3 linked regions of the Arabidopsis thaliana genome follow. The protein of the gene in region 1 interacts with the protein of each later gene in a pairwise test. Each region holds a gene or a part of one and is shown on either strand. Other genes may lie near its edges. The genes, in order: RCF3, AT5G11090 and EDA14.

What was found.
Region 2: the proteins of RCF3 (region 1) and AT5G11090 interact in a two-hybrid assay, tested with the Arabidopsis thaliana proteins (one large-scale study listed by BioGRID).
Region 3: the proteins of RCF3 (region 1) and EDA14 interact in a two-hybrid assay, tested with the Arabidopsis thaliana proteins (one large-scale study listed by BioGRID).

Annotation. Positions count from the first base shown.
Region 1 is NC_003076.8:21,512,804-21,516,558, forward strand, and holds the start of RCF3 (RNA-binding KH domain-containing protein), read left to right. Parts: upstream 1-2,092; 5' UTR 2,093-2,551; coding exon 2,552-3,241; intron 3,242-3,482; coding exon 3,483-3,755. Other genes in the region: AT5G53050 (alpha/beta-Hydrolases superfamily protein), read right to left, coding at 25-107, 236-419, 509-629. UniProt on the Arabidopsis thaliana protein: Acts as a negative regulator of osmotic stress-induced gene expression. Involved in the regulation of thermotolerance responses under heat stress. Functions as an upstream regulator of heat stress transcription factor (HSF) genes.
Region 2 is NC_003076.8:3,522,589-3,526,343, forward strand, and holds AT5G11090 (serine-rich protein-like protein), read left to right. Parts: upstream 1-2,088; 5' UTR 2,089-2,207; coding exon 2,208-2,861; 3' UTR 2,862-3,258; downstream 3,259-3,755.
Region 3 is NC_003074.8:22,312,702-22,316,456, reverse strand, and holds the start of EDA14 (embryo sac development arrest 14), read left to right. Parts: upstream 1-2,029; 5' UTR 2,030-2,229; intron 2,230-2,435; 5' UTR 2,436-2,454; coding exon 2,455-2,510; intron 2,511-2,595; coding exon 2,596-2,686; intron 2,687-2,872; coding exon 2,873-2,964; intron 2,965-3,085; coding exon 3,086-3,179; intron 3,180-3,272; coding exon 3,273-3,352; intron 3,353-3,542; coding exon 3,543-3,623; intron 3,624-3,706; coding exon 3,707-3,755. Other genes in the region: AT3G60370 (FKBP-like peptidyl-prolyl cis-trans isomerase family protein), read left to right, coding at 80-155, 239-423, 537-646, 776-884, 999-1,075, 1,335-1,457.

The sequences.
Region 1 (3,755 bases):
CACTTGAGTGATCAAACATATTACCCATAGAATGACCAATTATGTGAGCTTTCTTCCAACCCAAATGATCCAACAAACTAATTGAATCATTTGCCATTATCGTTGTTCTGTACCAAAACAAAACCCAAATTGAGTGAAGAAGCTAACAAAACCAATTTCACAGGAAATTGTTAAAACCGAGATTAAGAACACAAAGCAGAGAATTTTAAGTTCTTCAGTAATGAAATTGGCTCACGTGTACTCAGATTTGTGGGTAGGCACAGAGCTTCGACCCATACCACGATTATCGAAAGCGCAAACCTCGATGCCGGAATCATCGGAAACAATTCCTCCGTCGTCGTCATCATCGTCGTTGGGTTTATCCGTTCCCGTCAATCCCATGATTTGAGGACCCCATGACTCATGGGTTCCGGCTAAACCTGAACAAAATTAGAAAAACCCAATTGAAATCAAGCTCGGAATTGCTAAGGAAACTAATCAAATGGGAAAGATGGAGATTACAACAGACCTATGATGAGAAGAGCTTTGATAGGACCATGACCGTACGTTCTGTAGAAGATTTTGATTGCGGCATTGTTAAGCGTCGTCTCTGGGCCGACATCTTCTTTCACGACCTCGCAAAACGGCATCGCTTTTTTTGTTCTCAAACTCTGATATCTGGGTGGGATCAGATTTTGAATAACCGGAGAGGAGAAGAGGAGAAGAAAGGAAAGGACTTTTCTATCGGAAGAGAGAGAGATTGGGTCTGTGGTGTGGTTCGGTTCGGTTTTTTGGGTGGAGGTTAGGACTGCCACGTAGGATTGGTCGGCTGGATTTTATTGGCGGGTAATATCTAACAAAGGTCAACGGTCAAATTTTTTACACGAGAAAACTATGTTGTATAGAAATATAGCACGTGAAAAACGCTAGAAGTAGAAGTAGTACTACGTCAATGGAATTCATATGCATCATATATAAGAGAAGCGATAATGGGTCTGAACACAAGTGGAGCATTAACCTAAAACAATAGCAACTTAGACCATTTGTTGAAGTAGTCACTACACTATTTTAATCTCCGGTTCAATTTGTTGAACTTTATAATGTTTTGCTATTTTGATCCGCGTTGCTTTATATTATATTGGTGTGGTTTCAGGAGAAGACAGATCGAGACACAAAACAAGGCAAGATCGTTACTGACATTTTATGCTGGACACTAGATAATTGTTCACCAGGACATGTGATAATAAAACCTCCATGACTTCGTGGCTGCTTTTTCATTATATATAGTTTAGGTCACCATCTTGTCGTAGCACAACCTGAAAACGCAATACCTTCTCCTGAAACGGAAAATATTTGTTGGGAAGACCTATCATTTGGAAAGTACTTATGCCCGTCAAGGCTCACAATTTAGACGAAACGATCCACCAACAACTTAAGCTTTGAGTCTTTGACCATAAGTGCGAGACGATTTTCTTGTATTGTTAATTTGTTATTGCTTGTTTTTGTGAACTGATCCTTAGTTTTTTTTTTCATCAAAAGTGATCATTTAGTTAAAGACTTAAAGTGCAATGAGAGTTTGGTTTCTTTATTTTTAAACTCTTGAAAAATTAATTTTGTCAATGAAGCAATACAAATTAAATTGCTGAAAAGGGATAGTAAATCGTTTTTTGTCCTTACGGATTGGTGATGAAAATGGTATTCAACGGATGCAATACTTAGATGCACCAAATGATTTTTACCATATGCTAAACTTTAACACTAAACCAATTATACTTTACCTGGTAAATATTAAAAGGATTTTTTGTTTTCCAAAAACAGTTTTAGTATATGTACTTAATTACATAATACCGCGGTTAATAAATAGTTAAAAATTAAATTAGAAAAAAACACATACGTGTCTACAGTTTTAGTCTCGTACATAACACGAAAAATCATCTAATTGGTTACGTATTAATCATATCATTTTTACCTATTAGAAAAAAATTATTTATACATTTTTAGTATCTACTAATACGTTACGTGAGCACAAAAATTCATCTTCATCAGTGCTAATAACTATGCGAAAATCTGATGACGATTCATTTGTCTAACAATTTATTTAGCTTAATACGAGTTTTTAAAGATGAAGCATACCCAAATTTCCCAAGAGACCAAAACGACAACGTTTGGGAGTAGCTAATATCGTAGTTAGCGCACGCCACTAACATCACCCATTGCACGGTCTCTCTCTACTCTCAAACTTCAAAAAGCTTTGGCTTTTTAGATTCACAGGAAAGAACCCTCAAAACACACAAAAAGCTGGTGATTTTTGCATTGCACCGATTCGCCTCCATCGATTTTGGACATTCTTGAATTCTCCCTCCAAGTATTCCTGTGAAATTGACCGGAAAGTTCCTTCCTTTTTCAATTTCCGGTAAAAAGGAAAGTAATTGGGTACTGTAGACTTCCTTCTAGGGCTTGTGAACTTTCTAATCCTTCAGAAAACCCTCGAATTCGAAAAATTTGCTGCGAGATTGATAAATGACTAGTTAAAGATTTGAACTTTGATTTCTGGGTTTGCGATTTTATTCAAATGGAGAGATCTAGATCCAAGAGAAACTACCACTATGACCAAGACTATGACGGAGATTCCATGCCTAGGTCTAAACCTCGCTACAACAATAATTACCACTTTGGTGGTGGCGGCGGAGGAAATAACAGATACCGTGGCGGCGGCGGTGGTGGAGGTGGAAATGGCCGGCCATCGAAGTCTCATCCTGAAACGATGGCAACAACGACTTATCGAATCCTCTGTCACGACGCTAAAGCAGGAGGTGTTATTGGTAAATCCGGGACAATTATCAAATCTATAAGGCAACACACCGGCGCGTGGATTAACGTGCACGAGCTAGTTCCTGGAGATGCAGAGCGTATCATTGAGATTTCTGATAATCGTAGGCGTGACCCTGATGGGAGAATGCCGTCTTTCTCTCCTGCTCAAGAGGCTTTGTTTAGTGTTCATGACAGGATTTTGGAGAGTGAAGCTCAGTTTGGTTATGGTGGACCTCCGCCGGAAGAGGAGGAGGATTACGGTGGAGTTAGACCTGGTGGAGGGAGAGTTGTGACTAGATTAGTGGTTTCTAGGATGCATGTTGGTTGTTTGTTGGGTAAAGGTGGGAAGATTATTGAGCAGATGAGGATTGAAACTAAGACTCATATTCGGATTCTTCCAAGAGAAAGTAACTTACCTCGTTGTGTTTCACTCTCTGAAGAGATTGTTCAGGTCTGAAAAATTGCTATTTTGAGAACATATTTGAAATGGTGAATCTTGTTGAGATTTTGATATGAAATGTAGTCAGTTTATTGAAATGCTAGATAATTTAAATGTGTGATTGTGAGGTTGAGGTTGTTGACAAGAGTTGAATCACTCTTATGTAGTTAGCTTGGTCATTATTTGTTATGTTTAAGCTTTCTTTGGTGTTTTCTACCTATGGGAAATGCATTTATAATGTTGGTTCTTTCAGATTGTAGGTGAACTAAATGCAGTGAAAAACGCTTTAGCCATTGTATCATCTCGTCTAAGGGAGAGTCAGCATCGTGATCGGAGTAATTTCCAAGGGCGTTCACATTCACCAGAACGGTCGTTTGCAGCTGCGGGGGATGATTACATGCCACAGCTAAGAAGACAATCATCCGATAGGTTTCCTCGTGGTAATTTTAGAAATAACAACTTCAGTTCTCGCCAGTCCAACTATGCAGAAGAAGCTCCAGCAGTTCCAGTTGGTGAGAATGTCTAC
Region 2 (3,755 bases), about 18 Mb from region 1:
CAATCGTCGTACCCACCTAATCATATACTAATGTCTAATATTAGTTTTACTTTCTTTTAGTTTTTATCAGGTATAATACTATTTTAGTGGTATTAACGTTTGATAGGTGCTACTAAGAATTAATTACACACAAAATATGGATTCTGTCAAGACCAATTTAGACAAAATGTGAAACGAGTAGATCAGACCTTATTAATAATCTCAATCATAATTCTCTCTTAAATATTTAATCAAATTAGACAAAATATAGGTCGTTTCTGACCGTCAAACGTTTAATATCTGTAGAAACCGTGTTTAAAGGTTTAGTTGGTAAGAACTCTCTGAAATGTATCCATCAAATTCTTAAAATTGATATTCTGCACCAAAACTATTACTGGCAATAATCTGTCTAAGCATATTTTGTATTTTGCGGTTAAGGACGCATTGGAATAAGACATATATTATTACTATGGTTGAGTTCATCACCAAATTCCTTCTGCAGAGAAGCTGTTATACCTTTAAGATAGCATATAAATGTTCTAATACATCAGAATAGTGTTCGAGTCAGTAGTTCCATCAATTTGTAGGGACTCTTTAGGTCTAATATGAAACACAGTTGCATGGATCTCCTCCACCGTAACAACTTTATACCAAATGCTAGATTCGTTGTTGTTGTTACATTGCTTTTAAGCCCATTCAAGAGTTTGGCTAACTCACCAGTAGGTTTAAGGTGAAAAGTTGTTGAAATATGTTAAGTGTTACGTGTTGAGTAACTCTTGACTAATTATGATCATAATACGAAATTCTTAAAGTGTTACGAATTAACGATTGGCATTGCCTTCCAAAAAACTAGCTATATCAAGTCCTCTCTCTTTGGCCCTTTTTTATTTGGTAGTGAGCTGTTATTTCTTCTTCTAGCATTAAACCATCTTGAAAGGAAACAAACCAGCAAACGTAGGTACTTTTAATGATGGTGTCAGTTAGATCATAGATGTAACTTTATATGTTACCTTCATGTTATAAGATTTCTATATTGATGTTGTTGGGTATTAGCAACTAGTATTGATGAACCCAAAAAAAAAAAAAACTAATTTTGATATTTATTATAAAAAAATAATAATTAGTAATTAATATTTGATGTTAAGAGACTATATACGTAGACCAAAGGCATGTTTCAGACAAAAAAAAAACAAGAACAATAGAGTGCTAAATTTGATCAATGTAAGCTTTTAATATCTACTACAAAATCTAAAATTACTAAAAGTCATAAATCTTCAAATTGCTATTAAATTTATTTTATAAACCAAATTTAATTATTTAAAATATGTTTATAAAACTATTCAAAGTCTACCAAATAAATATGACACAAATCTTCAAATTGCTATTAAAATTATTTTATAAACCCAATATAAAGTCATATTTATTTGGTAGACTTTTGAATGGTTTGACATATGTGATTTTAGCTCACTAATTTATTAGTATTGAACTCTCTTACATTTATTAAAACTATTTTATGTTGGCAAAAATGTTTTACTCTAGAATACACTATACATAAGACTGATTTATTCGAAGCCTTCTTTAGATAGCCTAAATTTACACAAATGTTGTTAGATGCTAAACTTTTGTATAATCTTATTAATCTGAATCAATACCGTTACAGAACCATTGGGTTGTGACGATAAAACAAACAAAATAAAACCATTGGAAATGTAAATCCGGCTCTTGGCAAAACAACGGGCAATGGCAATTTACGTAATTATCTAAACTTTCTCTGGGTACTCTCCTACTTAAGAGCTGACATCTTTCTTAGTCATGACACGTGGCAGCTTTTTTAACTGCCCCCAAAAGCATTCCCTCTGATTTGTCATCTCAGCCGTTGGATCCGAACCCGATTCTTTTCGAAACGGCAAAACCGCCTCAAATTGAAAAACAAATTAGTAATTTATTTTGCTAACCATAGTTAAGTTTCATTAACCATGGTTAAATTTGACTAACCCGACATAGAAATACCTAAATTTCGAAAATGGTCAAAGTCTTTGAACGTATTTACATTTATTGCCATTGAACAAGCTTTTGCTATAAATTCGGTTCCTGAGACTCGCTAGGTTTGCCGAACCAACCTCCCTTAGGCACTTTCTACAGAGCAGCTAATCAAAAAAAAAAAAAAAAAACCTTGTTCTTCTCTTCTTCTTCCTCTCTCACAAATTTGACTTTCATAGAAGAAAAAAATGGTGACTACATCGTCACGAACCAAGTCAAACGGACCGGTGCTTCGTTCACAATCACCGTCAGGTCGATTTTGCGGTGGTTACTCAAGAGCCGTTCCGTCATCTTCTTCATCAGCTTTCGCTTCATCAACGAGTTCTAGCTTTTCATCTCCGTCGTCAGCTTTTTTCAGCAATCACCGTCATCACGAGAGCAATCACAGTCACCACCGATCTGCGTCACCGACTCGTGTGAATCTCTACACAGCGCAACCGATGTCTCAGTCGTTTCGTTACTCTCTCGATAGCAGATCTATATCTCCGACTAACAAATCGATCTCCGTTTCGAAGAATCAGCCACCGAGCCATAATCACAAGATCTCAAGGAGATGTATGTGTTCTCCGACGACGCATCCAGGATCTTTCAGATGCAGTCTACATAAGAACGTAGCGAATCCACATGGTCAAGGTACAGCTTCGTATACAACGAATGGATTGAATATGCGTCGATCTGCGATGACTAATTCGCTGGTGAGAATTGGTGGTGTTGAAGGAGAGTGGGTGAGAAGAGCTTTGACTACTTTGATTCGACCTTCTTCGCATCATCTGAAAAGACGAGCTGCTTATCAGCCACGTCCTAGTCGACTCTCAATCATGGCGAAAGCTGATGAGAATTGATTTTGATCTGGATTTTGGTTAATTCAGGTTTGTTTTGTTTGTTGTTCTTCTCTCTTTAAACGAAAACCACCACAGGATTTAGTAGATCCGGCGAAGAAGTCTTGTTATGAAGCTGAGGTCTGCGAAGAAGAATCATCCTCGAGAAATCGAGATTTTGTAAAAGGAAGAAACACACACCTATCATAATTTTTTTGTTGTTGGGTGAAAGAAGATGCTAGAATGCATTGTACATACGTTCTCTTTTTTACTGTTTTTGTTGCTCTCTCTTGCGTCTTTGTCGAACCCCAAAAAAAAAAAAATGTTCGGAGTCTCACCAAAAATTAGAGACCTAAAATCGAAAATCAAAGAACTGAATCTAATTTCTGTATTGAACAAAGTGAGATTTCTCATTCCTCACAATCAATTGTGTATGTGTTTGTCAGATTAGCGTTTTTTTTTTCGTGTCCCGTCAAGTCAACGTTCGTGTACTCCGTTGACCGGCGTTGTTTGCCATTATCCGTCGTCGTTTCTACCGTGAAGCGTTGCGTTAGTTTTCCAGGTATGCGTTATTCGTCGTGTCAGGTATGTTCCATTCGTTTTTTTTTTTTTTCCGTTTTATGTTACTTACATTTTTTTGTAGTTATATTTTCGTGGACATTTTGAATTTTGTTTTTGTTTTGCAGGTTGCGTTTGGTGATGGAGTTTGAACTACTTGACTAACAGGGACATGAAAATTCAGATGGAATTGAGAGAAAAACAAAATAAATTAGTAGAAAAATACATTAAAAACAAAAACAAAAGAGGTGGAAAAGGTCTTCACTTTCTGGACATATATAAAAAAACAACGAAAAATCTATGGAGGGAAAAACATGACTGAAGACAAAATTTACATAGGAGGGAAATGGAAAAAAAGTG
Region 3 (3,755 bases), on another chromosome or scaffold:
TCTTATTGATCTTACGATTCAGTAAGCTGGTTCCATAAGACTAGTTAAGTGACCAAAACTGTTCCATAAAATCTTATAGGTGAAACAAAACTGTCATTATCTCGGAGCAATCGCTCGGTATGTTGTTCATTGAGTGAAGAACCAAAAGACCAATGGTAAAATTTGCAATCTTGAGAGATAATTTTTTTTCCTTTTTTTGGTTTGATTCTGGAGATAAAGCTTGGTCTTTTAATTGCAGCTTGAGTCGGAGAAGTCTTGTTTATGTTTTAGTTGCTTCGCCGTGTTTGTTGTTACCAGCGTTGTCTTCATCTGCGAAGACTAAATCAAAGAGTCCTTATGATGAGAGACGGTTACTAGAACAGAACAAGAGGATACAGAGAGAGAACAATGCTCCTGACGAGTTTCCTAACTTTGTTAGAGAAGGTTTAAGCTTTTATTCACTGTTTCTTTGAGTATTATTCATTCTTGAGTGGAAGAAGAATATGAGAACTTATTGTCCTTTTGTTTGTGTTTATGTTTTTGCTGATATAGTGCAGGTTTTGAGGTTAAGGTATTAGCTTCTGATAATTACATCAAGGCTGATTCTGGCCTCATATATCGGGATTTCAATGTTGGTCAAGGTGATTTCCCAAAAGATGGTCAGCAGGTACTACTTCCTCTATGTTAGATTAGTTAAACTTAGGATCTGAAGTTAGATCATTTATGGAATTGGTATGCTCTTTACTTGGATATATAGAATTGAAGATATCATTGAGTTTTATGGTTATTTTGACAGGTGACTTTTCACTACATTGGCTACAATGAGTCTGGAAGGCGAATAGATAGTACTTACATACAAGGTTCTCCTGCTAGAATCCGCATGGGAACCAATGCACTTGTTCCAGGCAAGTAGAAGACATTAACTTGGCTCTTTAGTAGTAGGATGTTAATGAAGAATCTTCTTTGACAGGAAACACATATTGAAGATTTTTAATACTATATGGATAATGATGATGCAGGATTTGAAATGGGAATTCGTGACATGAAGCCCGGTGGGCGAAGAAGGATTATAATCCCTCCAGAATTGGGACCTCCGGTTAGTGTTCTTACTTGTTCCTTACAAGTATACACTTGTCTGAACTGTAAACCTGACTAGTGGTAAACTTTTGCTGAGCCATTCCGTTGAATATACCATCCCTCTATCAACAATGTTTCAAATGGAATTACTAGCTTGAGCATGCTCGTTTAGGGACATATCTAAACCAATGTAGATTAGACTTGTACTGTGTAAAAACTGTCTTCACTTTGGTTCGATCATATTTTTGACAAAACAAAGTTCATTGGGCTCTAACCAGGTGGGACCTTCGACCTTCTTCAGCTCGAAGCAATTTGAAGTTTTCGACGTGGAGTTGCTCAGTATCCAGAATTGTGAGAGGAGGACTATAATAGGTTTCTACTCAGATGTCACATGCAGTTAACTTCCAAATGATGGTCATCACTAAGCTTCAATGAACCTGCATTCTTCAATCTTCAATACTCTAAATCTGCACGGCAGATGAGAACTACAAAGAAACAAAAAGAACAATTATTCTTTGCTTAGGCATTTATCTTGTGGGTTTCATGTAGAGATGCACAATTACATAGAGAGACAGATAAAGATCATGTAAAGTCTCGACCTTTTTCATAATCGTAGTTTACTTTTGTTGCTTTGTTGATCACGTTTTAAGCGTTTGGAGCTTTTTGATATCTTCTGTCTCTCTGTATCTGTGCGTTTGTCAAGTTAAAGCAATGCATTGTTTCGTTAGTTTTATAATTTCTACCCCAAATTTTGGCACTCTTTATGAAACACCCCAAACAAATAATAAATTGTACAAAGATACATTGAAATTTGGAACGGTAGATGTGCAATGCTCATCACATTTGGAAAGTTAATTACGAAATTTTCATCTAAAGACGTTAAGACATTTTATGTGTGGAAACTATAATTTGCAAGTAAAGCAACTAAAACGATAAAAAGGGTAAATGAGTAATTGCGACGTATCCACTAAACCCTTAGTCTCAGCTAGAAGGTTCGGTTTGAGTTTTCTTTATCCCCAAAAAACCCTAAACTCTTCTTCTCGCCGACTTCTCTACTCCTTTCCAGAAACCAAGTTTCAGGTCATCGGTGAAATTTGTTGTGTTCCCGGCGACTTCTACTTTTCACCTTTCTTCTCGGCGTCGTCTAATTTCTAGGGTTCCCCTGTATTTCACGTGAGAATCTTTGGCTTCTTTTTTTCTTTCGTTTCGTCTGTTCGAATGCATAGTTAGGTTTAGACTTGAGAATGTTGCATTGTTGGATTAGATTCATACTTCAGATTAGGGTTTCAGTTTCAATTCGTTAAGTTGATGAGCTCGAGTAGCTTAAGATCATCTTTAAGCTCTCTTAATTCTAAACAGTTTTGTGACTGAAATTGCAGCGTCAAGAGCAAATCCAACATGTCGTCGCTGCGTAATGCTATTCCACGGCCTGCTCATAAGGAGCGATCTCAACCGTAAGCTATTATTGCTCTCAGGTGTCCTTTTTGTTCTTTTCTTCGTTTCTCTTCTTAAAGTTTGGATTTTTAAACGTATCATCAGGGAAGCGAGGAAGAGGTTTGGCATCCTCGAGAAGCATAAGGATTATATTATCCGAGCTAATGCTTATCACAAAAAGCAGGAAACTTTAAAGGTAACTATTACACTCTCTGTTTTCAATTCCATCTCTCCTATGATTATACTGTCGAGATTATGTTAATAAAGTCTTTCAAGTAGACATTTGTTAGTTTACGGGATTGATTGATGATATCTGTGAGATAGCTAAGAAACTAAATCGTTGGGAGTTCAGTTTCTCTTACACCGTTTTACTTTACTGCAGATACTTAGGCAGAAGGCTGCATTCAAGAATCCAGATGAATTCAACTTTAAGATGATTAATAGTAAAACAGTTGATGGACGTCATAGACCAAAGTAAGCATATCGAAACTCTTCGTTTTCTTCTTTTTGCTTTTCACTATTATCTCTTTTGCTATTCTCATGGTTTCTCGTTTTCTTCTTGGTTTGTAAATTTTGACAAAGTTATTGTTTTCAGAGATGAGGTAAATAAATACTCTGCGGAAGAGCTTATGATTATGAAGACTCAAGATATTGGATATGTGTTCCAAAAATGGCAGAGTGAGAAAAACGTAAGTTATCTTTCCTCATACACACCCCAAGAGCTTTCTGCTTACGATCATATTTATCCAGTTTTTCTCTTTGTTCCTTCTTATCTTTTGTAGAAAATTGACAAGCTGACTGCATCGCTGCAATGTACTGGGGATCAGTCAAGCCGTAGACATGTTTACTATGCAGAAGACAGGTTAATCCCAACTTTTAGTCCTTTCTTTACTTGGTGTAGCTTTCGTGATTTTCTCATTCATTTTGAATGTGTCATATGGACACTGCAAAATTTGATCCTCCTTACCTTAACATTTAAAAGACATTACCGGTACCACATTGTTTGTGTTTTCTTATAATCTTCTTTTTTAACTCTGTTGTTCCTTTATCAGAGAGGAGGCTAGAGAACTGGAGGTACAAGGTAGAAGCAAAAGTGATATCTCTACAGTAGAGATTCCGAAAGATATTAAAAAGTATGTATCTGAAATGAATTAGATGTTTTCAAAGGTATCAAACGGACAATCAATAGTCATTGTATTCTATTTTCTTAAAACAGGAAAATGGATAGGTCCTATAGAGACCTCGAGGGGCGGAAGAGCAGGGCT